Astyanax mexicanus: one gene and its partner. The protein of the gene in region 2 purifies or fractionates together with the protein of the main gene of each other region. This does not show direct contact. Links are inferred from orthologs where the notes say so. Each region holds a gene or a part of one and is shown on either strand. Other genes may lie near its edges. The genes, in order: nop10 and naf1.

Evidence for each region.
Region 1: the proteins of naf1 (region 2) and nop10 purify together in Homo sapiens (co-immunoprecipitation; 6 studies listed by BioGRID and IntAct, with this or other methods). This does not show direct contact. The link is inferred for Astyanax mexicanus from reciprocal best matches to the Homo sapiens genes NAF1 and NOP10.

Annotation. Positions count from the first base shown.
Region 1 is NC_064432.1:21,454,176-21,466,482, reverse strand, and holds nop10 (H/ACA ribonucleoprotein complex subunit 3), read left to right. Parts: upstream 1-7,848; 5' UTR 7,849-8,018; coding exon 8,019-8,072; intron 8,073-9,281; coding exon 9,282-9,422; 3' UTR 9,423-9,810; downstream 9,811-12,307. Other genes in the region: uncharacterized protein LOC103045361, read right to left, coding at 1-1,984, 2,068-2,258, 2,356-2,480, 3,374-3,502, 3,756-5,392. UniProt on the Homo sapiens protein: Required for ribosome biogenesis and telomere maintenance. Part of the H/ACA small nucleolar ribonucleoprotein (H/ACA snoRNP) complex, which catalyzes pseudouridylation of rRNA.
Region 2 is NC_064409.1:7,204,879-7,218,697, reverse strand, and holds the start of naf1 (H/ACA ribonucleoprotein complex non-core subunit NAF1), read right to left. Parts: upstream 4,909-13,819; 5' UTR 4,814-4,908; coding exon 4,775-4,813; intron 3,278-4,774; coding exon 2,889-3,277; intron 1,933-2,888; coding exon 1,767-1,932; intron 1,102-1,766; coding exon 1,008-1,101; intron 842-1,007; coding exon 759-841; intron 586-758; coding exon 425-585; intron 223-424; coding exon 171-222; intron 1-170. Other genes in the region: ttc41 (putative tetratricopeptide repeat protein 41), read right to left, coding at 6,661-7,063, 7,976-8,099, 8,363-8,499, 9,512-9,664, 10,796-10,946, 11,090-11,273, 11,923-12,050, 12,745-12,878 and 1 more. UniProt on the Homo sapiens protein: RNA-binding protein required for the maturation of box H/ACA snoRNPs complex and ribosome biogenesis.

The DNA of each region.
Region 1 (12,307 bases), on a different chromosome or scaffold from region 2:
TTGCCCTTGTCAAGGATCCTTCTATTTCTTCTCGCTTATCGTTTGTTCTCTCCTCCTCTTTTCGTCTAGTTTGAGTGAGAACTAGAGCTAAAAGCGATGATTTTAATGGCTTCTTGCTCCTTGTTGACGATCTGTTTAGACCTTGGCACTGTAACCCTTGGTACTCACATCTACTCTGCTGATCTTGTCCAAGATCCCTCTGCTCCTGCCACTGCAGGCCTGTGGTGGACGTTGCTGGTCGTTTTCTTGCTGTTTCCTCTTGTTTCGTCCTTGTCCCTTTCCTCGTCATGACCATGTGTTGACTATGCTGTCTGGTTTGAGACCTTTTGGCAGCTTTCTCTTGTACTTCAGTCAAGCTTGTCTTGTTTTTTCCAATGCTTTTGTCCAAATTCTGCTTTCCTTTTCCTCCATTTCCCAACAGAAGCTGTTGGGATGCCGTGCAACATTTTCTAGTTATCCTCCTCTGATCTGTACTTCCATTGCTTACTTGATCTTGCACTACACTTCGCTCAAATTGGTCTATTCTCTCTGATTGGTCTATAACTTGAATTTCAGGCACTTTTTCCTCATCAGCCCCATGCTTGATGACCCTTGGCATATCTACAAGACTGGTCTTTCTATTATAAACCAAATAATTTGTGTTTCCCTTCTTGTTATGAGCCTGAACATCCTTGTCCTTTTTGTCAAAGCTTCTTGTCCATCTTCTTTCATCTACAAGTGTCACCCAATTAAGCTTGCCCCTTCTTGCTGCTTTACCGGTTGTCATCTCCTTTGCTTTTACCAGGTGATGTTTTCTGTGTCCCTCATTTGCTAACATTGGGTTTACAGCTTGTTTTGGTGCCTTTGTCTTCATTTTCACATCAACATGTTTTCCTGCTGTCTCTTCAGATTGCAAAGAACCTGATCTCCTTGTCTTTCTGGTGTCCATAACAAAGCTATGAACAGCCTTGTTGTTGATTTCTTTTGGTTCTTGGTTTGGTTTGCTTTCTGATCTAGGGATTGTTGAAAGTGTAGATGAAGTGAGGAAGTTCGGGCTTGAGGAAGAGGATGTTGTCAGGAGCCGAGTCACTTCTGGATGATGATATTCTGTATGATGGTCAATGGGCTCATTAAGATTGTCTTTAATCGGCAGCTGTGCAGCTGGACATGCCTGCTCTACTGGGTTCATGACCATCTTGGGAAGGTCATCATTGTTATCTGTCACATGAAATGTTTCCATGTCAGTCCCATCCCTGTCGTTTTTTAAATCGGCCATGCTCTTATTCTGTGACTGCTGTCCTGTCATACCTTTGTCGGCATTGTCCTCTTTGATCACATCCTTAGAAGACATTTCTACAGAGGCCCCAGAGGTTATATTTTCAGTGTTCTCAGGAGACTCCAGATCATTCTGGAAACTATTGAAGTCAATTCCAGTGCTTTGGAACTGCTTCCACAAGGTTTTGGGACTGGAAGCTTGCTTGATGTCTTCACTTACTGAACCAATAATAGGTGCACTTGTATGTGAAGAAGAAGGCACATTCTGGTCAGACAGGCAAGATTCAACTGCACTATGGATGTGCTTTTGAGCTAATGTTGGTAAAGAGCAGTTTTCTGGGACACAATCAGGATGTCCCATGCTACTGTGATTGATAGAACTCATCTGGAAGTAAGATAAAGGTTCAGGCAGTGGAGGAAACATTTCAAATTTAACCTGGGTGTTCACATTTTGAAAAGGTAAAAGCTGTAACCCAGTGCTTGAGGCAGGAACCGGGACATCTTTGTCAGGTAAGGGCATTCCAGGATCACTCGATTGATTTAGCAAAGCAGGTTTTTCACTGAAGGTCGTAGGTGGTGGAAGTATACTATTGTCTATGTAGTAGCCAGATTGGAGAGTTTGAGGCTGTGGTTCAGGGTGTTGTTTTGGTTCTGGTGCTGTAGCATAAATGGATTCATCTGGGGATTGAGGATGTAAGTGGCATACTTCTGGTGCTACTTCTGAGTCGTCCTACAATAAGATTCGATCAGAAATGTTTAATGCATTTTCAAAAAATATATAAGTACATGCCAACAACTCGAGAAACTCATTACCTCACTGACAACGTGACTGCAAAACCCATCTTGCTCCTTGTCATCATACTGCATGAATTTCTTGTCTTGATTGTCATCAGACTCTTCTTTGTCATTTGTCTCTGGAGCTTCCATGACCTCGCTGTACTCGTCTGGTGCCGCTTTAACTACGTCAGGTGGTGCTGAGTTAGAGCCTTTCTTCTGATCAGCAGCTTCAAAGACAGAAAGAAGAAAAAAAATGCTTTTTTTAAGCTTAATTAAATAGATATTCCACTCTTAATATAAGGAGATACAAGGCTAAATGCAGACCTTGGCCCATGGCTGGTGGTTCGTCTCTCACAGTTGGAGTTTGCTGTTGTTGCTCAGTGTCTTGACTGCTTGCTGCTTCTATTGTCCATAAGCTTACCATTTCCTTCAGTTCATAGTCCATGAACCTGGTGGAACACATGCATGTCTGTAGGCATTTTTCTGCTTTCCCTTATCCCCAAAACATGCAATCACAAATCTCATAATCTAAAGCCAATTTTCCCTGGCCTGATGAATGCTCCTTCATTCCCAAGCCCAGTGTTTCTCAATTCTGGCCCTGGTACTCACCTGCCCTGCATATTTAGACCTTTTCCTGCTTCTGAAGGACTCGATTCCACTAATTAGTTCATTACAAAACACTGCCCCAGCCTTATAATTGCACAAGCATTTTCTGGTCTTTTAGGTGTGCCATCATTCCCTTATCATATAAAACCGCCATTGTTTCCCAGCCTCATAAGATACATAAGATTCCCAGACTCCAGATAACTGTGCCGATGTTCCATGTCATGCAATCTTCATAGTCATTCCGACTTCATAGGTGTGCAAACTTTTCCCAGTTTCATCGATGCATCATCGTTTCCCATTTTATAAACCATCTCTAAACAGTAAAAAAAAAATATTAAGAAGTGTTCTAAATCACACTAAATTAGTAGAAATTAGCTGTTCCCTAGTCTCAATGGTTACTACTAGTACTACTGTTTTTGCAGTGGATGAGACCAAGCTCTACTGTTTTATTGGTTTATACACTTAATTGGCTGGTTCATGGTCTATTCTGACTACAGGACAACAGCCCTTAAATAGTGTAATGTGCTATAAAATATTTTATAAAAATGAAAATACATGATGTCCATTGTAATGGATGCAGGGTCTGTAAGGCCAGGGAATTGCAAGGTTCAAGCCGATTCTGAAATCACCCTGCAACTTTACAATTCCCACACTAAGACAACAATTGCTGACATGTATAGTAGTGTTCTGAAATGCAATCTGGTGTTTATTAGATGCTGGTAACAATCATACTGACCTCTGAGCCTCGTGGTAGTACTCCATTCGTTCAAAGTCGGACAGCTTCTCCCACTGTGACACAGCGATCTTCACTGCTTCAAAACGAGGGACACCGGGGCATTGAAGAGTGATGGAGTTTATTACTTGTCTAAATAAATACAAAGAAAGATGTTTCACAGATATGATGTGATTTTAAAGTAGTTTGGTAGAGTTTTAGCTTAGCAATATGCTATTGTATGTATTTATTTCATTTTACCCAATTAAGCAGAGCCAATTAACCCACCAACTCACTAACATTCCATTTATCACTTGACCCTAGGAAGACAAAGCACTCGAAGAGTCCCAGAGAGAGCATGGCAAATTGTGCTGCTGATGGTGATGCATTTCAGCTTAATACTCACATGAAGAAGCAAGCCAAGGCCTCCACATCTGGACTGCTGGTGTAGACAAAAGATGCTACCTTGCAGAACATCTGCCAGCGCCTGTAGTTTTTATACAGTTCCTTTGAAGGATTATACCCCTCGCAACACGATTGTACCACAAGGGGCTGTTCATGTTCATGGCTGGTGTTACATTGGAAGTCTTGGCAAGGAAGGAGCGGGACCTCACTGAATGAAGGAGCAGCTGATACTGATGATGTAGTGCTATACATCTGAGGCACTTGAGGGCCAACTGTGAAGTTTGACTGGTTGATCTTCATATATGAACTATGTGGGAGCCAGATTCCATTGGGCAACTGAAGGCTTGGCTGGAAGAAGTCAGGTGGTAATTGATGATTTGATTGCATCCCGTTAACCGTGAGACATGGGACTACTGGAAGATAAGAAGGATGGACATGCTGGAGTCTGGGTAATTGATAGGCATTACCACATGGTTCAGTTGAGACATAGTTGGAGGTGGAAGGCAGGTTTAGAGGCAGTGATGGTCCAGGGACGTCTTGAAAAGGTTGTGGTTCTGGAGGAGACTGAGATATGAATCTTGCCTCTGGAGGAGGCCATATGAATGCATTCTCCATGGCTTCGAAAGAGGAAGGTGGAAAATTATGGGAAGAATGAAGTTTTTCACTACCATGCCCTTGATTGTTTTTCTGACAAAGCAGTTCCAAGATTGCAAGCTTAGTTTCTTGCTCTTCCATTTGAGTTGGAACAAGCTCAGTTTGGTTCTTAGTATGTTTTGAACCAAAAATGGGCTCAGGATCAGGTACATACACTGCAGGATTTACTGGTGGCTCCATGAAAGGTTTTGGATGATCTTCGGGAAGGGCGACACATTCTGGGCTCATAAAGATGTAATCTAAAAAATTACAAGGTGCACTTGCAGATCCAAGTTCCAGTTTAGCTTCAGTTGAAAGCACTGATGTTTCAAATGGTGTAGGATCTCCTAAGGTCCCTTTGCCATCATCTGGCTGCAGTGTGTTCATTGTTATGAGCTCGTCAGTGGACAACAAAAGGGATGCCAGGTCTGGAACAGCACCATAGTCCATGGCTTCGATAGAGGAAGGCGGAGAGTTATGGGAGGAATGAAGTTCTTCAGTACCAGGCTCTTGATGGTTTTTCTGCAACCAATCAAGTGGTTCAGACTCCAGATGAGACTGAACAGGATCTTCTGCCATCAGACGAAGCAGTTCCAAGATTGCAAGCTTAGTTTCTTGCTCTTCCATTTGAGTTGGAACAAGCTCAGTTTGGTTCTTAGTAAGTTTTGAACTCAAAATGGGCTCAGGATCAGGTACATATACTGCAGGATTTACTGGTGGTTCCATGAAAGGTCTTGGATGATCTTCAGGAAGGGCGACACATTCTGGACTCATAAAGATGTCCTCATCTACAAGGAAGTCTTCTAAAAAAAGACAAGGTGAACTTGCAGATTCAAGTCCCAGTTCAGCTTCAGTTGAAAGAACAGATGTTTCAAATGGTGTAGAACATCCTGGGGTCCCTTCACCATCTTCTGGCTCAGTGGACAGGAAAAGGGATGCCAGGTCTTGAACAACTCCACAATCTTCTGCGTTTTTTCCAGTGCCCTCAGTGATTGGGGTTGTCATGGCTTTCTCTGTCCTTTCTCCTCCTTGCTCTTGAGAAGGAGGGGAACTGGTGGCTTGATCCACAAGTGAGGTCTACAGGTGAAGGTACATCTGCATGAGAAAACTAAGAGAAAGTACAAAAAATGAGGTTAGTATTGCGACTGTTCTTCTGAAATTAAATGTATTTAAAAGTATTTATCATGCTTTCATCGTAGTGACTGCCTCTAATGTCCAAAAAAGCTTTCTATTAAATTTTTAAGCTTTGTTGTGAGGATTTGATTGCATTCAGTAGCAAGAGCAGATATAACGTTAGTGAGGTCAGAATTCCTGAGAGCCTAATGCTAGTCCACACTGTCTGCCATGGTCATTCATCTTTGTATATGGTTTAATACCAAACGCTTCATCACATATTTTTGTTCAACCCCTTGAATTAAATATGAAAGTCTACACTTAACTTCTTCTCATTTGCTTCATTTTAAATCCAGTGTGGTGTCACATAGAGCCCAAATCATGAAAAATGTTTCCCTGACCAAATATTTATGGAGCTGACTGTATTTCTTTTCTGTATGGAAGGCCAATAGTACAGTTTCCTAAACTGCTGTAATAAACAGTGAGCTGTAGAGGAGGTATTATTATTATTAGGCCTGATACAGCTGTACTATACTCAGTGTTGTGCCAGTTCACAGCTTTTCTGAACTAGTTCAGTTCATACATGCTCAAAGTGAACAGTTCACGTTCAAAGTTCACAATTTTAATTCTGAACTAGTTCAAAGTTCAGTTCATTTTACTTTTTTTCTGAGATATTCTAAGTTCTTTGAAACTGCTTATTGTAGACATTTGCTCATGACACTGCAATTGTGGGTTTCTTACCAGGTGATGAAAATGTTCATAAGGAGAATCGGTGTCTGTCTCCAGTCATCACTTCCACTAGCCATTTTTTTTTATTGCAGCGCTTTCTCTCACTCCCGTCATTGCTCTCTCTCTCTCTCTCTCTCTCTCTCTCTCTCTCTCTCTCTCTCTATCTCTATCTCTTTCTGTATCTCTCTTTCTCTCTCGCCCTCGCGCTCCGCGCTCTCGTCGTCGGTCTCTCTCTCTCTCTCTCTCTCGCCCTCGCGCTCCGCGCTCTCGTCTTCGGTCTCTCTTTCTTTCTCTCTCTCTCTCTCTCCCTCTCTCTCGCCCGCACTCTGTCGTTGGTCTCTCTCTCTCTCTCTCTCTCTCTCTCTCTGCGCTCTTTTGAACTCGTTCATGCACAACACTGAATATACTGTACTGTACTCACCTTTCACTGCAGTGCAAGTCAACAGAGCCTCCAGCTATCACTGAAGATCGGTTCGCTCACTTCATCAGTTATCAGTGCAGCTTGTTTTTATATTTAAAAATAAACAGCATTCTATTCAGCCAATATAAACCACATTTAATTTACTATAATAATAATAATAATAATAATAATAATAATAATAATAATAATAATAATAATAAACACAGGAAATCTCCTTGGAATAAGGATTATCCATGTTCATTTTAATAATAGTAATAATAACAACAATTTGCTAGAATTAAACTGGCAAGACTTAACTATTTAAAAATATATACTGTAAAAAATATATTATAATAATAAAGTAAAAACAATATAATTTATTCATTTTGAATATAGTTAAGGACAGTTTCATTTGTTTTTCCGCTCATTAAAGAAACACAAACTGCAGCTATATTTAAAGCTAGATTGCACGGCTAAATTGTGCATAACATATCCTATAATAATAAGGATAATATCATATCATATTATATAATATTATAGATATATTACTAAAAATAATATACTATTAACTACTCAACTAACTACTGAAGCATTTTGCTCAAGTAAAAGTATAAAAGTACTGGTTTCAAAACTACTAAAAAATTCAAAACAGTAAAAGTAAAGTAAGGGGAAAAATGCCTTTAAGGTAAACAATTTAATATTTATGCTCTGATATCTATTATAGCAAGTAATTTGTCCGAATTAAACAATAATAATTATTAATAATTGGTGCAGCTATATTTTAAGTGCACAACTAAATAAACATAATAAAAAGTACAGCTGAGGTTAAACAGCTCCTTAAATAAATAAATAAATGACAATAATAATAATAATAATAATAATAATAATAATAATAATAATAATAATAATACTTTTGTAACAATTAATGAATTAATTAGGGAAATAAAAGTGCGCTAAAATATGCATAGTAAAAAGTACAGCTGAGGCAAAACAGATCATATAATAATATACAATGTCATATAATATAGGAATATTTCTAATAATCCTCATTTTTATCCTTATTATTATTATTATTATTATTATTATTATTATTATTATTATTATTATTATATAAAAATGAATTTAGTATAAAGTGTGGCATTATTGTACCGGCAGGGGGCGGTCGCTCTGCAGCGATGATGAGTCGTTACTAAGAACTCCATTTCCCATCATGCTCCTCGCTCCTGACTTATACCGGATGTGGTGTTGAGGAGCAGAGGAACCGCGTGGTTTACGCAGATACTGGACTGTTCTTCGTAAAGCGCTGATTTATCTCATTTTCAGCTCTTTAATCCGGTTTAAAGGCTTCAGATCATCTAATCTAAACTCCAGAGGAACCGCGCTGTAACCATGTTTCTGCAATTCTACCTGAACGAGAACGGAGAGCGGGTCTACACCCTGAAGGTCTGATCCGGATCCTGATCCGCTTTAACGTTACTCACTTAACTTTACTAACCAAAAGCTGATGTAGGGTAAAAAAAAAACGAAGTTGTTCAGATCTTACATTCTGGTTCAGTTAGTCTGGGGTGGTGGACCAGCTTTTTATATCGTCACCAGTAAAGTGTAACGTTAGCTCATGTAACTAGTTATTATGAGTTGGGTGGTTGTATCTGGTTAACAAGACTGATCAGTTTGGCCAAGCTAACCAAAATAACCATGAAGACAATACTGTACCCTGCGAATAAGCCAGTTCAAGAGCAGGGTTTTGCTGGTAAGTTAGCTGGTAAGAAGCTGGTAGATGGTCTTAAATACTCATTTATGGTTAATGTGTTTTTTTTATATGAAACTAGGCATCCAGGCCAAAACGGACCAACTAGCTGATTAACTGGCTGTTAAACATCACTTTGTGTGTTTGTTGTTTGTGTGACTGGTGTGGTGTAGTGGATAACACCACTGCATGGCACATGTGGGAGACTGGGGTTTAATTCCCAATCTGGGTGCGTATGCTGTGCTACATCAATTGGTGGAGCCAGGGGCAAGACTCCTGACACTACATTGGCCCACCTCTGTAACATCAGTAAAAGCAAATCAAATTCAACATATTGAACACTATGCTAATTGATAGCTGATTAACCAGCATATAGTCTGTTTTTGCCTGGATGAGCAGCTTTTTAATCACACTCACCATCAATTATCTTCATGTTTATGTAGTAAATATAGATTCTCTTGGTTTTCTCTTTTAATTATGGTGCTTTGCAAAGTGTTGAGTATTATAAAAGCATGCTCATGATTTAAGTATTGTCTTATTGTTTGGCCCTATAAATGATATAACTCCATAAAATAACTGTATGTGCAAATAAAAGTTAATTAATTAAGAGAAAGATGGCTAAATTTGACACTTTCTAAGAAGTTCCCAGAGGAAAAGAAATTGCTGTATTGTGCAAAAGAGTAGAGCCAGTGAGAATAGAAAAAAATAAGAGAAAAGAAAAAGAAATCTGACAAAATAGAGTGTAAGACAGAACAATAAACACATGCAGCAAGTCATTAAACATTTGCTATTTATGTTTCTGTGTGCTACTAGAACATTGTATGTTGGACATACTGTAGTGAATAGTACAGTATACATGCAGTCAACATTTATTTATTTATTCTTTATTAATATTCCAATTTCAGAAAGTGGATCCAGAAGGCCAGCCCACCAGCTCTGCACATCCAGCTCGATTCTCCCCTGATGACAAGTTCTCCCGGCACAGAGTGACCATAAAGAAACGCTTTGGACTTCTGCTGACCCAACAGCCACGACCTGTGCTGTAACAGAGCACCAAACAATGGACACATCAAGGACATGAAGTGTGTGTTTGCGTGTGCACATGCACACGTTTGTGTGATGTTGGTTGCGTAATATTTTGTTTTACTCTATCCAGTAAAATTGTATAATTATGTTGTTATACAATGTCTAGAGACATCATTTTAAAATGAAAATTTTCCTCAGTTTAATTGAAGCATTTTCTTTAATCTGAGTAAATGTGATACTTTATTAAATCAGGAGAACATTTCTCTCTGTTTTTCTGCAGTTTACCCTTTGCTTCTGGAATTTTGAAATGAATTAATTTGTCACATTTTTAACTCCACTCTCAATCTCTGAGTTTTTTTTCTTTGGGGAAATGAACCCCTTATTCAATAAAACTCATTTGCTAACCTACTGCTGGGTCTGTTTATTGTTTTACCAACATAGAGTGTTGTAGTGCAGCTGTCAGGAAGATAAGATGGGGCCAGAAAAAAATAGAAGAAACCTACCAGACCACTACAGAGCCGCTTTTAAAATTCTACATTCTACATGCAAAAAATGACCCCATATTATAGAATAGTATATTAGGTTATCTACCCACTTGTGAATAATGGTGATTTTCATTAAAGAAAAATCTTAAGGACTGCTACTTTAAGTATTTTGGAAAGTCAACAAGCAGATATGTATTATGTTACTTATCATTATAATTTATTATGTTTTTGTTATTTTACCCAATTTGAAACAGTGACATTTTAACATTGTTTAGTGGTAGAAGGTAGATTACTTTTTATTTTTTTATTTATTTATTTATTTATTTATTTATTTATTTATTTTTTACTTTATATGTATATGGATTAAAGTACAGTAGTGAAGTAAAAATAATACTCCAGTAGATATAGATACAGTATTTTAGTACTTATGTGCAGTTGTGAAGCAAATTCTATTTTTCCTGTTACACATATCTGGTTAAATATATATATATATATATATATATATATATATATATATATATATATATATATATATATATATATATATATATATATATACAGCTCCGGAAAAAAATAAGAGACCACTTAACAATTATGAGTTTCTTTGATTTTACCAAATTGAACACCTCTGGAATATAATCAACAGAAAGATGGATGATCACAAGCCATAAAAACCAAGTAGAACTGCTTGAATTTTTGCTCTAGGAGTGGCATAACATTATCCAAAAGCAGTGTGTAAGACTGGTGGAGGAGAACATGACAAGTGTGAATAACTGTGATTTCAAAACAGGGTTAATCCATCAAATACTGATTTCTGAACTCTTAAAACTTTATTAATATGAACTTGTTTTATTTGCATTATTTGAGGTTTGAAAGCTCTGCATCTTTTTTATTTCAGTATTTCTCATTTTCTGCAAATAAATGCTCTAAATGTCAATGTTTCTGTTTGGAATTTGGGATAAACGATAAAACAACAATGTTCATTTTACTCAAACATTTACCTATAAATAACAAAATCAAAGAAACTGATTCAGAAACCTATATATAAGACTACATTACCCATGCTGCACATCGGTTCCTTTTGTACGGAAAGCGAAAGTGGCCAAGCGAGCCTGTGTATAATACTCTATTAGACAGTGCAGGAGGAGGAGGACGGGCGGTAACTGAAGCACGAATGGGTTTAGTTTAATTCAGTTCATCCAGATCAGGCGCGGCTTTCCCCGGAACTGAGGCGAGACAAGGTGACTCCAGGTAAATGTGCTGGATGGGGAGAATCGGGGAGTGTTTATGGTTGGGGATAATGGGGCTGTGTTTATTACCTGGCAGCTGCAGGAGCTGCTGGGACCTGGGAGCTGTCAGATTTGACTAATTACACACATAGCTAACTAGCCAGCATGCTAAATAGGTAGGCGCTTTATGAGCTAGATAAAGGGTAAAAGCCCTTAATGAATTAGCTAGTTTATCTAACAAATCCTAACCCGAGCAGTAAACAGAGAAACAGAAACAGAGAGAAAACAGTGCTGCCTGCTGCCTCCATTCACTACAGCTGGCTGCTGGTGTGTTGTGCTGGGTATTCCTCCGCAGTCCTGGCGCAGTGCTTTGGCTAAAACATCAGCCAGATTTTTATCACTTTATCCCGGTCTAAACTCTCATCTGACCGGCGCCGCATCTCTGACACGGCCGAATATTATTGTGCTGTAAACGCTGCGCTGTGTCCGCAGACTCCGGGCTGGACTGACCGGTCCGATCCAGAAATCCTAATTGGCTTAATATGGATGCTAGCGGGGCTAGTTAGCTAGCTAAGCTAACTGTTAGCTAAGTTAGCTGAGCTGTGATGCTAGCGGGGTTAGTTAGCAAAGCTAACTGAACTGTGTGATGCTAGCGGGGCTAGTTAGTTAGCTAAGCTAATTGATATGTGTGATGCTAGCGGGGCTAATTAATTAGCTAAGCTAGCTGCACTGTGTGATGCTAGCAGGGTTAGTTAGCTAAGTAAGCTAACTTAGCTTAACTGTGTGATATGACAGCAGGGCTAATTAGTTAGCTAAGCTAGCTGAACTGTGTGATGGTAGTGGGGCTAGTTAGTTTTTTCTCTAAAGCTGTTTTGTGACCACTTCTGTTGTGAAAAGCGCTAATATATAAATTGAATTGAATCAAGTTGGCTAAACTTACTGAACTGTGTGATGCTAGCAGGGCTAGTTAGTTAGCTAACTAGTTAAGCTAGCTGAACTATTTGTTGCTACTGAGGCTAGTTAGTTGGCTAAGCTAGCTGAACTGTGTGATGCTAGCGGGGCTAGTTGTCTAGCTAAACATGCTGAACCGTGTGATGCTAGCAGGGCTAGTTAACCAGCTAAGCCAGCTTTACTGTGTGGTGCTAGTGGGGCTAGTTAGCTAGCTTGACTAGTTAAACTGTGTGATTCTAG
Region 2 (13,819 bases):
GACTCAAAAATGATTTTTAAAAAAATCTAAGCAAAAAATCTGATTTAAGTCACTTCAGCCTGATAATGTGAACGTAGCCATAAATGCTGACAATGAGCAGCATCGTAAAACCTGATTGATAAATGTCAAAATATTTACAGAATGGCAGATCATTAAAGCAACACATTTACCTCTGGGGGAGGCTCCTGATCATTCTTCCAAGAAGCATCTGATCCTTTAAATCTACAGCAAGAAAAAAAACAGAATATTCATCAATAAGAGCAAAAACAGACTGCTGTTTGTGATCAAATGCTAAAGCTAACATAAGCAAAACACCAACATAAGGTATTTAAGTGGTAGTAGTTTATCCTTGAGTCTTTACATCCGAGTAAATATGACTGACTGAGAGCCATGTCCAAATATTCAGAAATGACGGATTACTCACTTGTTCAGCTGCTCAGTAAAGATGTAGTCTGTGAAATCTTTGATATTTGGAGCGAAGAAAATCGTCTCCCCTACTTTCAAGTTCTTCTGTTCAATGTCTTCGTGAGAGTTGAACCTTAAGATGTAGTAAGGCTGGAAAACTGGACCAAAGACCTCAAACACCTATAGAAACAAACAAAAAAAAGGACACAAGAGACACACTACTGACTACTCAGCTACAAAGACAGTAACTCAACACACGATTAAAGTCACAATGAATGTAGATCAGAAAGAGAGCAATTCTAATCCTAAAAACACTAAGAATATGAAATATCTGAAGCATGCTGAGGACTCACCTTCCCAATAGCTGTCCTGTCTTTGTTGAATAGGACACTGTCTTCATTCAGGGGTTGTGAGTCTTTCATTGATTCAACAATTACTACCAAGCAATACAAAAATCAAAACAACAGCAATATATTACTTTATATGACTGATATATTAAATTAATCATTTGTTATCTCTTCCTACACAATTACAAATAAAATTATACATTGATCCATTAAACAATGGTTTGATTGGTACTTTGAATGCCACAGTAAGAATACCTAGTTGATCTATGATGCTTGAAACAGTTCCAATGGGCTCAATCTGTGTGTCCTCAGGAAGGCTGATGTTCAGATTTTCCACTGCAGGGAGATCCTACACACAAACAGGACGGACATCAGTAAGAGTTTAACAAGACCAATTGTCCTACCCAGTCAGCTACAAGTCAGCTGTATATCCCCGAGTAGCTTCACAGCATGCTCGGAGGAAAGCGCAGCAACACATCAGCTCACAGACGACTCGTGCTGATCGCCATCACCCTAGGAGTGATGAGAGAAAAAAGCGCCATCTACCCAACCGGAGAGAGAAAGGTGCAAGCTGCATGACTGGGATTCAAATCGGCAATCTCCTGATCATAGTGGCAGCACTTTAGACCCTCTTAGTTAGAGTTAACTAATAACACCATAGTCCATATGTCTACATAGAGTTTAGCAACACACATTGTACAGCTGTTAGAATTAAAATTAAAGTAGAATTAAAACTGAAACTGAATATTATTAGTATTTGTTTATTACCCCAGTGTCTATTTCTCTATTTTATATATTTATGTATGTCTCCGCTGCAATTGAAGTGTCAGAGATAGATAATTTATTGATACTTTATTGATGCCAGAGAGAAATTACAAAAAAGATCAGATAACATGATACAGATTATAATAAAATAAAAATAAAGTATAAAAGTAGAGCCTTTTAATGTATGTGTGTGTGTGTGTAGTGTGTGAGGTAGTGCAGTTAACCACAGTAAAACAACAATGACCTCACCTCAATCAGCAGCTCATCCTGTGTCTTGACTGGTGGTGGCCTCTTCCCAGGAGCAAGATTATTTTCTTGGTCATCGTCTTGATCAATCTCATTCAACACTGAGCAAATGACTCCAGATGAGGAAGAGGAAGATGAGGAGGATGAAGATGAAGAAGAGTCTGAGTCACTGAAAAGGAAAAAAGTCTCTCACAAAAATCGATAGAACATGAAACAGCAGATTTGTCTGTATACTCAAAATATGGCTGATATATATATATATATATATATAAAAGTTTAGGTGCCATTTTTTTTCCATAAAACTAATGATTCTATATACACTGCCCAGCCCCAAAAAAGTCTCCACCTGGATTTAAGTAAGTAAATTATGTGGGGTTGGTTGGTTGATGCTGAAGTTGGTCTGCAGGTTTAGGTTCAGCAACAGTATGTGCTGAAAGAATGAGGTCAGCTGACTACCTGAATATAGACCAGGTTATTCCATCAATGGATTTTTTTCCCCCTGATGAACACGGCCATATTCCAAGATGATAAAAAATGTCAGGATTCATGGTGCTGGAATTGTGAAAGAGTTCAGGGTTCAGGGAGCATGAGATCATCGTTTTTACACATGGATTGAGAGAGTTCACCACAGAGTCCAGATCTTAACCTCATTGAGAATCTTTGGGATGTGCTGGATGGAGAAGAGCTGCTTTGTGCAGTGGTCAGACTCTACCATCATCAATGCTGCTGCAAGATCTTGGTGAAAAATTAATCCAGCAACACTGGATTTAAAAAAATCTTATGACATTGCAGAAGCTTATTAAAACAATGCCGCAGTGAATGTGTGCTGCAATCAAAGCTAAAGGTGGGACCTTTTTTTTTTGGTGGCGATTTTTTGGCCAGGCAGTAATGAAGCAAGAGATAAAAATAAATAATTTTAAAAACAGAATGTGTAAATAACTATGTCAGGTTACAAAGTTCATACACAGTTAAAACCTCTTGAAGATTGTTCTTTATAAACCATTAAAAAACACTGTATACAGGATCTACTAGTGTGAATTAGTGAGTCCGTGCAGTTTTTATAAGTACAGTAAGTACAGTAAGCTCGTTATGATGTATAATTTAAGTGTTTTGTGTGTTTTATACCTGTCTGAGAGATCTTCAGAGCTGTCATCTCTGTACTGCTGGCTTAACAAAGTCAAAGATCCTCCACCGCTGATGGGACTCACTGTGGCTTCACCCACAGCCTCGTTACAAGAGCCAGAACATGGTTCTTCTTTCAGGTCAGATACTATTATGTCCATGGGTTCATTTTTCTGTGAGTCAGCCTCTGCTGTAGCTGCATCAGGTACAGCATCAGGGTTCTTTAGTGAGCATTGTTCTGTAGCACTGTCAGTTTCTGGCTTCTTATGTTCATGTAGATTGTGATCCACAGGTACAAATTTAGGGCTTTGTTTTTCTGTAGCACAGCTACTGTCTTCTCCCGCTGATGGATTAACATGTACAGGTGCATCCACCGGCATATCTGCTTGTGGCTGAAAAATAGTGAATAACACATACAGGAAAGATGTTAGGATGTTAAAAAATATATTTATATATTTACAAGCAAAAAAAAAAAGAGTGGTTAATTCACTAAATCAGAAATGGGGCAACTCTAGTCCTGTAGGGATGAAGACCTACTTAATCCAGCACACCCGATTTAACTGTTAACTACCAGCTTTAATCAGTAGAGATTTATTTTGTGTTGACATTAGGGGTGGGCAATATGGCCCTAAAATAATATTACAATATTCCAGGGTATTTTTCGATAATGATATTCTAGATATATATTTAATTTTTTAGTGTTATTGCTTACAATATAAAATGGCACACCCCAAATTGAGATTTTCACTAGATTGTAACAGAAGACAACGATCAAACACTAATAGTTGAAAACCGCTGGAATATAATCAAGAAGAAGATGGATGATCACAAGCCATCAAACCAAACTGAACTGCCTGAATTTTTGCACCAGGAGTAAAGGCATAAAGTTATCCAAAAGCAGTGTGTAAGACTGGTGGAGGAGAACATGATGCCAAGATCTTGGCTGTGATTAAAAACCAGGGTTATTGCACCAAATATTGATTTCTGAACTCTTAAAACTTTATGAACATGAACTTCCTTTTTCTGCAAATAAATTCTTTAAATAATGTTTTTTTTTTATTTGGGAGAAATGTTGTCTGTAGTTTATAGAATAAAACAACAATGTTCATTGTAGTCAAACATAAACCTATAAATAACAAAATCAGAGAATCTTATTCAGAAACTGAAGTGGTCTCCTAATTTATTCCAGAACTGTTTATCCAGCAATTAAGTAAATAAATGATACAGGACAGATATAATATGTCTGGAGTAGATTTTCTTTAATAGGACAGACAGCATAAAGGTGTAACACAGCAAACAACAATACACTCTAGCTGGTGTGTTAAAAACAAGCAACATACTAAACTATGCAGGGCATGAGGTCTTCACTTCCAGGATCAGAGCTGAGAATCTATATGCCCCATGGCACTAATCTCACACAGAGATCTAGGTTCCTGCAGACTTCACCTCCAACCCTAATCCAGTCTACCTGATCCACCTAATTCCTCCCTCCACAAGTCCTGGCTGCGTCCCAAACCACATACAAGCTACTAAATTACTGTAATGAATGTAGCTACTTGTATCTAGAGTTTACCACGTTTGTCAATTTGCCAATTAGCTAGTAGTACAGCTGTAAGCACAACACTTTACAACTGGACTGGGTGGGTGGTGTTCTCTGAACTTAGATAGTAGCTGTTTGTGTTTTTTATTCAGTTTTCTAATCTATATAAAAATCAAACCAGCCTAATTGAAGTAAGCGATGGTAATTGTAAAAACGAAACAGACTCAGTAGCAGTTCACACTGTAGTAGATTAGTAACAGTAGTTCTGATAAGCTAAACTCTACAGGTTTAAACACTGAACACATTACTGAAGTCTAACTTTCAGAGAAAACTGATTTAGATCCGGTACCTGTGTGTCTGTGAGATCCTCCCCGGTTAAACTCTCCATACTGTCTTATTTTCGGGCTGTTGACTGAAGCTGGATTCAGAAACACTCAGGCATGCTAGTCACACATGTGGCACAAACACGCTTTCAAGCGCGCAGCTTCCGGAGACAATATTTATTTCAAAATAAAAGTCACCATATTCTCTTCAGTCGTTTCCTTAAAACAAGGTAACTTTATATTTAAACTCACGATATGATGTTAAAATATATTATTTAAAATAATAAGAGATGGGTGTCGGTGTTCGTGGTGGACATATATTATTATAATTATTATATTGTGATAATTATTAATATATTATTTAAAATATTTTCACGTCTTTTACACCTAAATAGAACATCATCAGTTAAAAACCTGCGAAAGCATTCGCAGATTACTAGAACGCTTTTTTTGTTCTGTCTGCAGTGAGTGAATAAAAAATATTAATATACTCGGGTATTTTAGCTCATTTATCATTTTATGCATTTTATGTCTAGGTTTTTTTTTTATGCATTTATGTTATAAAATAAAGTTTTTGTTCAACTGAATTCCATTGCTTGTGTTTTTGTACCCTATAGGTGTCAAAAGTGTCCATTACCGATTTGAGAGGCAGCAGATAGAGGTGGATCATAAAATACCATAAAATAAAAAATCCCCAAAATATACCCAGCTCCAGCCCAGTTCGCACCTACAGAGAGAAATAGCTTCCTTTTATTAATTAAATTAATTACATTTTATTAAATTAAATGGATTGGCCAATCTGTCATAACATTTTTGAAATGTAGTATTTTTTCTGCAAAGAGCAGGGGTTTAAAAATCTAAATTTACACAATTAAATTTGGCCATATATGTATAAAAACTGTATAACCCAGCAACACTAGTTTATTGCAGATATTACAGTCAAACCTCTAAAATCCACTGATTTTGTCTATTCGCATAGTGTAAAACATGCTGTCAGTGACTGAAATAAATATATATTTATTTTTATTGCTACTTTTATGAAATATTTATGGTTCCTGACCGGCAAACTCCTGTCGGATGATCTTAAAAGTATTCAATGATGTCTCTTCTTCAGTCTCTCACTTCTCCATCACGCACCTACAGTGCATGCAGAATCTATCAGAGTACTTTAAGGCAGTGTAAAATAGTCCAGCGCCCTCTAGAGCTCAGAACCAGCATCAGCAGTAACTACACAATAATCCGCCCAGCAGAGGGCGCTGCGCCTCTTTTACCAATACAAAACAGTTTATTTTACAACAATAACCAATTCTGCATCTAAATATTAAAATTTATGCAATAAACAGGTTATTAAATTGTATTTTTTTATATATTTTGCATTCAAATACAGCACCAGTTAAAAGTTTGGACACACTACTTCTTATTCAATGTTTTCTTTATTTCATTAATTTAAGTCATTTATTTCTCTATTGTAGATTCAAATATTAAAGACATGAAAGTAATTTAGGGACACATAAGGAATTATGGACTAAACAAAAAAGGTGTTCAGCCTCCACAATCCCCTGATCTAAACCCAAGATGATGAAAAAAATACTTTAGGTGACTTTACTCTACCTCATGAAGCCAATGAGTGTGCAAATCTCGTTACATTTACAATTTTAAAAAATCATAAAAAGAAAGAAAACACATTAAATGTGTATCTAGTACTGTATGCAGTATATATATATAAATATTTTTTGTTTAGAGTCTGTAAAAAATGTAATAGGTCATTATAAATCATAAAATAAATGCTAAATATTTGGTCTAAACTATATACAAAATTGCCCGAAATTTGTCAAACTGCACACCAATCAGTTAATTGCATCATTGAATCAGATTTTAAATCATGTGAATAAACAAGAAATGCAATGCAGTCCTAACGTGCTGATTTCCTGTAAACATACATTCCCATTTGTCTATTCAGTGCCTTCACTGCTTCCTCCTGGACACGGCAGCGGTCAGGCCTCTTATCAGACCCCTCCTTAGATGAGATTTTCCTGGACCCACACACCTCTTCTCTGGGTACCAGAGTCCTGATATCACTCTGAGGCCCGAACACACTGGTCTGAAATGTTGTCCAGGGCCGGGTGAGGGTTTTCTCTATGTTCTGCTTTGGCTCCAGAGGTGCTGTGGCAGGTCCAGGTTGTGTAGAGGTCAGTCTAGACTGATGAAGCAGGGGGGATTTAGTGAGGAGTCTACTGGTTAAACAAGCTCTTGATCTGGAAGCTGCTGGGGTGTCCAGTCGCTTCTTAACTACTGAAATATCTGTGTTAAAGACACTGAGAAAAAGACAAGAAATGAAAAATTAATATTTCTTACTTTTAATTTAAGTTATGGAACATTAAAACTCTAAAAGTTCACCAAACATGGCTCCGCTGATAAGCTACATTTGTTGGTAATAGATGAATTATGTAAATTAGATACATTTAGGTCCAAAAATAATTGGACAGTGACTCAATTATTATGATTTGAGCTGAGATGCAACTAAAGTGTAGACTTTCTGGTCTAATTCGAGGGGCTGAATAATAATATTCTATAAAGCATTAGAAATTTACAACCATTTTTATCCAAAGCCTCCTCATTTCAGGGGCTCAAAAGTAATTGGACACATGCATTTCACTCACTTAAGACAAAATAAAAGGTAGAAAGACCCACTGACCAAGAACAACTGAAGACAGCTGCAGTAAAGGCTTAACAAAGTATCATAAGGGAGGAAAACCCAGTGTTTGGTGAACATATCCATGAGTTCCAGACTTCTGGCAGTCATTGCCTGCAAATGATTCTAAATAGAGTATTAAAAATGAACGAAAATTTGATTTATGGTAAAATCATCATTTGTCCAATCCAGTGTGGTGCAATGCAGAGTCCAAATCATGAAGTTTGGGGATAGAAAGAGAAGACAAATATATATTTCACCTTGCAATATGGAACATTTCTGAATATGACAGCCCCACATATTTTTCAGTCAAAGTTGAAGACAGTAAACAAGAATAAAAACTTTTCTTTGGCAACTTAAAATAAAAAAATTTCTTTGGCAACTTAATTTCATTTCTTAATATACATTCATTCCTATATTTCAGACCTACAAAAGCTTTTACCATGTTATAATGGTTCTATTACATCTAGCAACAAGTTCAGTACTTACAACAGCATATAGTACAATCAATATAATACATAATGAATGGGTTTACTGTTGCCTGTGTCTGGAGAGTGGGTGGCCAGCGTTGAGAAGGTGAGTCAGGTCAGTAGCTCTCTGCAGTAAACTCAGAGCTTCTCTCCTTTCAGCCGCACAGGAGCTCTGCATTAACACTTTACCTGGAGAAAGAACAAGGTCAGTGAACCACTGGAGGCAACATAAGTCTGCAAAACTGTATTCTTTGTTTTTTCACATTGCATTGCATTGCCACAGCCAATCCCGGCCACTATTCCCATATATTATAATCAATCTCTCCGGGTAATAATAAAAAAATTAAATACTTAGAACAATATATGTTTTTTTAACAATATGCTGCATTGTATCCAGTTAAAATCACTTGGCTTTGTAGCATATAACCACACCAGCCCCTTTTTTCACTCACCGAGTTTAAGCAGAGTGTTGGTGAGGTCCTGCAGCATGGGCCTGGACAGGAAGGAGGTCATCCCCCAGCTCTTAATCACTCTTTCTCTGACATGGATGACATGACGAAACAATTCAGTGGCCTTCCTCTGAGTCCAGCTACAGGAAAACATGAAAAAAGATCATTTTACAACATTCTACATAGATATATATATATACAGCTCTGGAAAAATGGGATCACTTAAAAACGATTGTTTTTGTTCATTTTACCAAATAAAAAAAAACTCTGGAATATAATTAAGAGGAAGATGGATGATCAAAAGCCATCAAACCAAACTGAACTGCTTGAGTTTTTTCACCAGGAGTGCAGGCATAAAGTTATCCAAAAGCAGTGTGTAAGACTGGTGGAGGAGAACATGCCAATATGCATGAAAACTGTGATACAAAATCAGGGTTATTTCACCAAATATTGATTTCTGAACTCTTAAAACTTTATGAATATGAACTTGTTTTCTTTGCATTATTTGAGGTCTGAAAGCTCTGCATCGTTTTTGTTATTTCAGCCATTTCTCATTTTCTGCAGATAAATGCTCTAAATGACAATAATTTTATTTTGAATTTAGGAGAAATGTTGTTTGTAGTTTATAGAATAATGTTCCTTTTACTCAAACATAAACCTATAGACAGCAAAATCAGAGTCTCAGTTTTCCAACCAATTAAAACAGAGCACAATTACAAAACTACCTTTTTAACTCTTAAGGATGATGACAAACAGTCATATACAATGAAATCATAAAATAAAAATGAATAATAGATAAATAGAACAGAACAATATTAGAATGAAATGTATTAATATAATTATAAATAACAACATATAGGGTCCAATGCCTCTGTATGTAAGCCCATACTTCAACACTATCAAATTTACATTGCTATCATAATTAGCATCAGTTGTATAGGGCCCAAAATAGAACCCTGTGGAAATAAATATAAATATTTAAAACATTTTAATAAATATTTGAATTTTATAGTATTAATGAAATATTTTATATATCAGTGTTTTTCAGTCTGTGTCCAGATGAAGCTCCATGATCTAATCCCATTTTTTGTAAACTGTTAGCAGTGGGATAAGTAACACTGATGTATGCATATAATCTCCTGGATCTCTCACTCTTTGTCAGTGTGGTTGCTGTCAGACCAAATGTCGGCCAGCTGCTCCTCCACTGCTGCAACCAGGGGATGTTCAGTGCCATACCAGCGCCTCCTACTGGCCAAAACCGCCTCCACACAGCTCTCAGCTGCACTCAGCTCGCCAACAGCAAATCTGCACATAAAAAACATTTATACCTCATAAATTCCAAACATTTATCTATAATATGTTGATTTTTTTCTTCCAACATAAAATCTTTAAATGTTTGAAAGCACTATTTCTGTTTTGTACTAGGGGACCCTTTGTCAAATTAGATGTTGTTAGATTTAGATTAGATTATTGTCTTCAGACCACACGTTTTTTAAATTCAAAATAAGTGTCTCTATAGAGCGTTTACACTAAACAGATTTGGGATCCAATAATAAATTACTATTAAATTACTATAGTTATTATTATTTATCTATTCATTTTATTATTGTTATTATTCTTTATTTTGTGTATAATTGTATGACTATTGGGATTTAATTTCGTTTTTATTATTATTATTATTATTATTATTTTGTAGTTATCATCAGCCCTGCTTTTGCTTTATTATTATTTTTCCCCCTTTTTTCTTCCTTTTCTGGGTGTGTTTGGGTTATAATTTCTCTCTGTTATGTACAATTTTGTCTTTTGAACTTATTATGAAACAAAAATGTGACTAAATCAAATATAAAAACATTATTCAAAATAAGTGTTAGTTTGTTTAATTTTAACAAAAATGCAAACTTAAATGTGTCACGTTATATGTGTGTTTTCTAATTTAATATGTTAAATCCAGCAATAATTATTGGTTTCCAGGCATAGACCTTCTTTAACACTTTAACACGCTGTCCACATACTTTCATTTGGGTTAAGGTTAGGACTTTGGGTAGTTTTAAATAAAAGTAAAACTTTTTGTAAAAGCTTAAAGCTAGCCTGCTTTATTTTTTTTTCACAAACCCTCTGATGTGCCGGAACAGCCGGCAGCATCCATGTTTCAATGATGGGGTAGTCTAAAATTGTCTAGAGCAGTCTTCTTCATAAATTTTGTATCCACTTTGTGTCATGATGCGTCCACCACCATGCTTTACAGTTGGTACAGTGTTCCTGGGCTTGAGTATATAGCAGGCTTGTGCCTTTGGTAGTTGTTCCTGACCATATAATACTACCACTGTTCCTGAATTACAATGGGCTAACAATGACTTACTAATAATGTTACTGTCAGGAATTATTAAAATAAACAGTCTGCAGTTGATCTACGTATTGTTGCATATAATCACGTACTTGTATAGGCCTTGCAGTAAAGTAACAGTAGCTTCAGCACATGGGTGAATGCACTTGAGGCCAGTACTGCTGATTTCCTTTAAAAGTCCAGGAACTGTATACAAACAGCCTCTTTTCAGCTCTATCTGAGACAGAAAACACAGAAACTGCCCTGAAAAAGAACAAACATAAATACAGATGAGCACATCTACACACATATTACTGTAACATCCATAACACAATACACAAACACTATACAAACTGTATATCCACAGTTATGCTTTACTGCAGACTGACAGATCCTGCATCTGCTACCTTTTATCATCCTGATGTTCTCTGAATGAGAAGAACTGGAAACTGTAAGGATGTCTGCTGTTTTTAAGCCTTTACTGCTGTACAGCTCTGCCTCGTCCAGCTGCTGCATGTAGAAATAGAACTTAGCCAGCATGTTCTGCACTTCCAGCAGTGATCTCACGCTGTCTTCATCCAGCTCATCTGCCTGCAACATCAATAACAATATCAGAGGGGCTCCCAGTTGTCCAGCTAAGCATTGCCATCAGCTGCCAGAGCCCTGAGAGGTGGGTAGATGGCACTCTCTCCCTACAACACTCCAAAGGGTGATGTCGATCAGCACAAGGCATCTGTGAGCTAACGTATAAGAACCGCGTCGCTGCGCTTTCCCTTCATGCGCACTGTGATGCTACTTGGCAATGCTGCCTCAGCAGCAGTTCAAAAAGAGGTGGTGACTTTACATGTAGTGGAGGAGCCTTCACCTTACTTTACTATTGATAGGGGGAGTCCTAATGAGTGGGTTGGGTAATTGGCCAAGTAAATTGGGGAGAAAATGGGAACAAATCTCAAATTTAATCTAAAAATTATTTAAAAAAATACACAATATCAGAAAGATTTCTGAAATGTGTTGTGGGAGAAAACCTTTATAGTTACAGACAAAATGTGGCCTATGGTGCTCATTCAAATTTGAGGGTGACAAATTTAAAAACATAAAGCATAGAAATTCTAAGTATTAGTATTAGTAAAAACTAATGGTTGAAACACTATTCTTCCAAAACACAGTCTCACCTGTCTCACCTGTCTGTATATGTCCATGTACAATTTTAATATATTGCAAAACAAATAGAAAATCTCACCTGTTGAAGGACAGTTTCTGCTTCTGACAGTATTTTCCCAGCTTCTTCAGGCTTTCCCAAACCGAGCAGAAGGTCAAAGGAGAAAAGGGCTAACTTAACCCTACTGCCAAGATCTCGCTTACCACAACCTAAGATCAAATAGAAAACAATGTTCCATCAGTAGTATCTTCAGTAGATCAAATAATACCAACTTAAGTCATGATTTTGAATTAACTTAATCTTATTAATTTGGTTAGAAAATAAATAAATAATTAAATAAATAACTATTGAAAAGGGCCTACTCTTACAGTGGTGCCACAACAGTCCCTAGAGTGAAGCTTTTTGGACTAAAGACCATTTATATAAAGGTGTCCTATCACTAAAATCAACTTTTTCTTGTACTTTGTGAAATACAGTAGGTCTCTCTGAGTTGTATATAACGAGTCGATTTCTTTCTTTCTGGACCTGGACTACGCACCTCTGTGTGTAAGTAACTATAGGTTAAAATAGGTTTACTCTAAGACTAGATCAAAGGCTGAACTGCACTTAGCAGAGCATTACACATGTTGTAAAAATTAAAAAATGTCTTTATTTTAAATGTTTCAAACTGTTGTCCGTCTTGCATGTGTCACAGTGCTGTTAGCCAATCAAAGGGCGATTGATATGTTTGCATATATGAATATGCATGAGCAAAAGTCAAAATCCTATCGTTTCTCCCCCTCCACTCCTCCACAGGACTAAAGTAGCGTTATACCGGATCATCTGAGCACTTTTTTTTTACTTACATAAATACATTTTAAATTATTTAAATAAAAGTGACAACATCTCTGACTCTGTTCTGACCATTCAGTACAGTTGGTCTCTGGAGTGAAGAGACGGGGTCATACTCTCTTTGGCTCAGCAGCGTCCAATAACGAACAAGATCAAGCCTCAGCTGTGGGTACTGCCTCACACTGCTCGACAGGATACACACAGCTCTGTGGAAAATATGGTGATACGTTATCTGTACATGCTGATTAACATCAATGCAGTGTCGAGTATAAAATCTCCTGCTTATCTGACCTTATTTGTCTACCCTGAGTGTAACAGTCATAATACAGTATATTGCTTAAAATACTTTTGTGTACATTGTGGTAGATTTTCTTTTAAGAATGTAATGATTTACTACACCGTATACAGTGCCAGGGACAACTGATGACACCTTTTTAGTAAATGTCTTTATGTTTCCTGTCCATTACAAAACTGCTTCAGCTCAGTAAGAACTACACAAAAAAGTCCTCACAATGAATAAGCAGATGTCCCAAGTCTCGCGGAAGTCTACCGCATATCAATAACGGCTCCCTGATGCCCGCAAGTCAGATAAAATCTCCCAGAATCTTGAACGAGTGGCCCAAGATTGAAAACAAATGCTCACTTAGGCAACACAGACTTACTTATCCAATTGTTTTCTCTAAAAAGCTAATTACATTATTTTCTTCAGTTCTTTAAAGCATTGTTTAGTTATTGTCTAAATATTTAATGTAATAAAAATAAATTAACTTAAGCCTTACTCTGGGTCAGAGAGGACACTATATAGCTCCTTAAAGGAGCCAGTTTGTGCCAGATGCCAGGGTAGTTCCTCCAGCTTCCTTAGCCAGCCACAAAGTCCCTTACTGCGCTTTTGGAAGAACTCAGCAATGATATGATGGAAGTCGCTCCGGCTTTTCTGTTTGTCTGCAACACCTGAATACACATGAAAAGAGCATAATACATAAAATACCACAGTTTCTACGGCATATAAACTTGTACGCTTGAAGCTAAAGTCTGCAGGTTTTTAATACATTTATTTCTGTTACTTATCCCATTTTCTCCACAATTTACATGGCCAATTATCCAACCCACTTATTAGAAGTCACCCTAACACTAATAATGCCCCAAC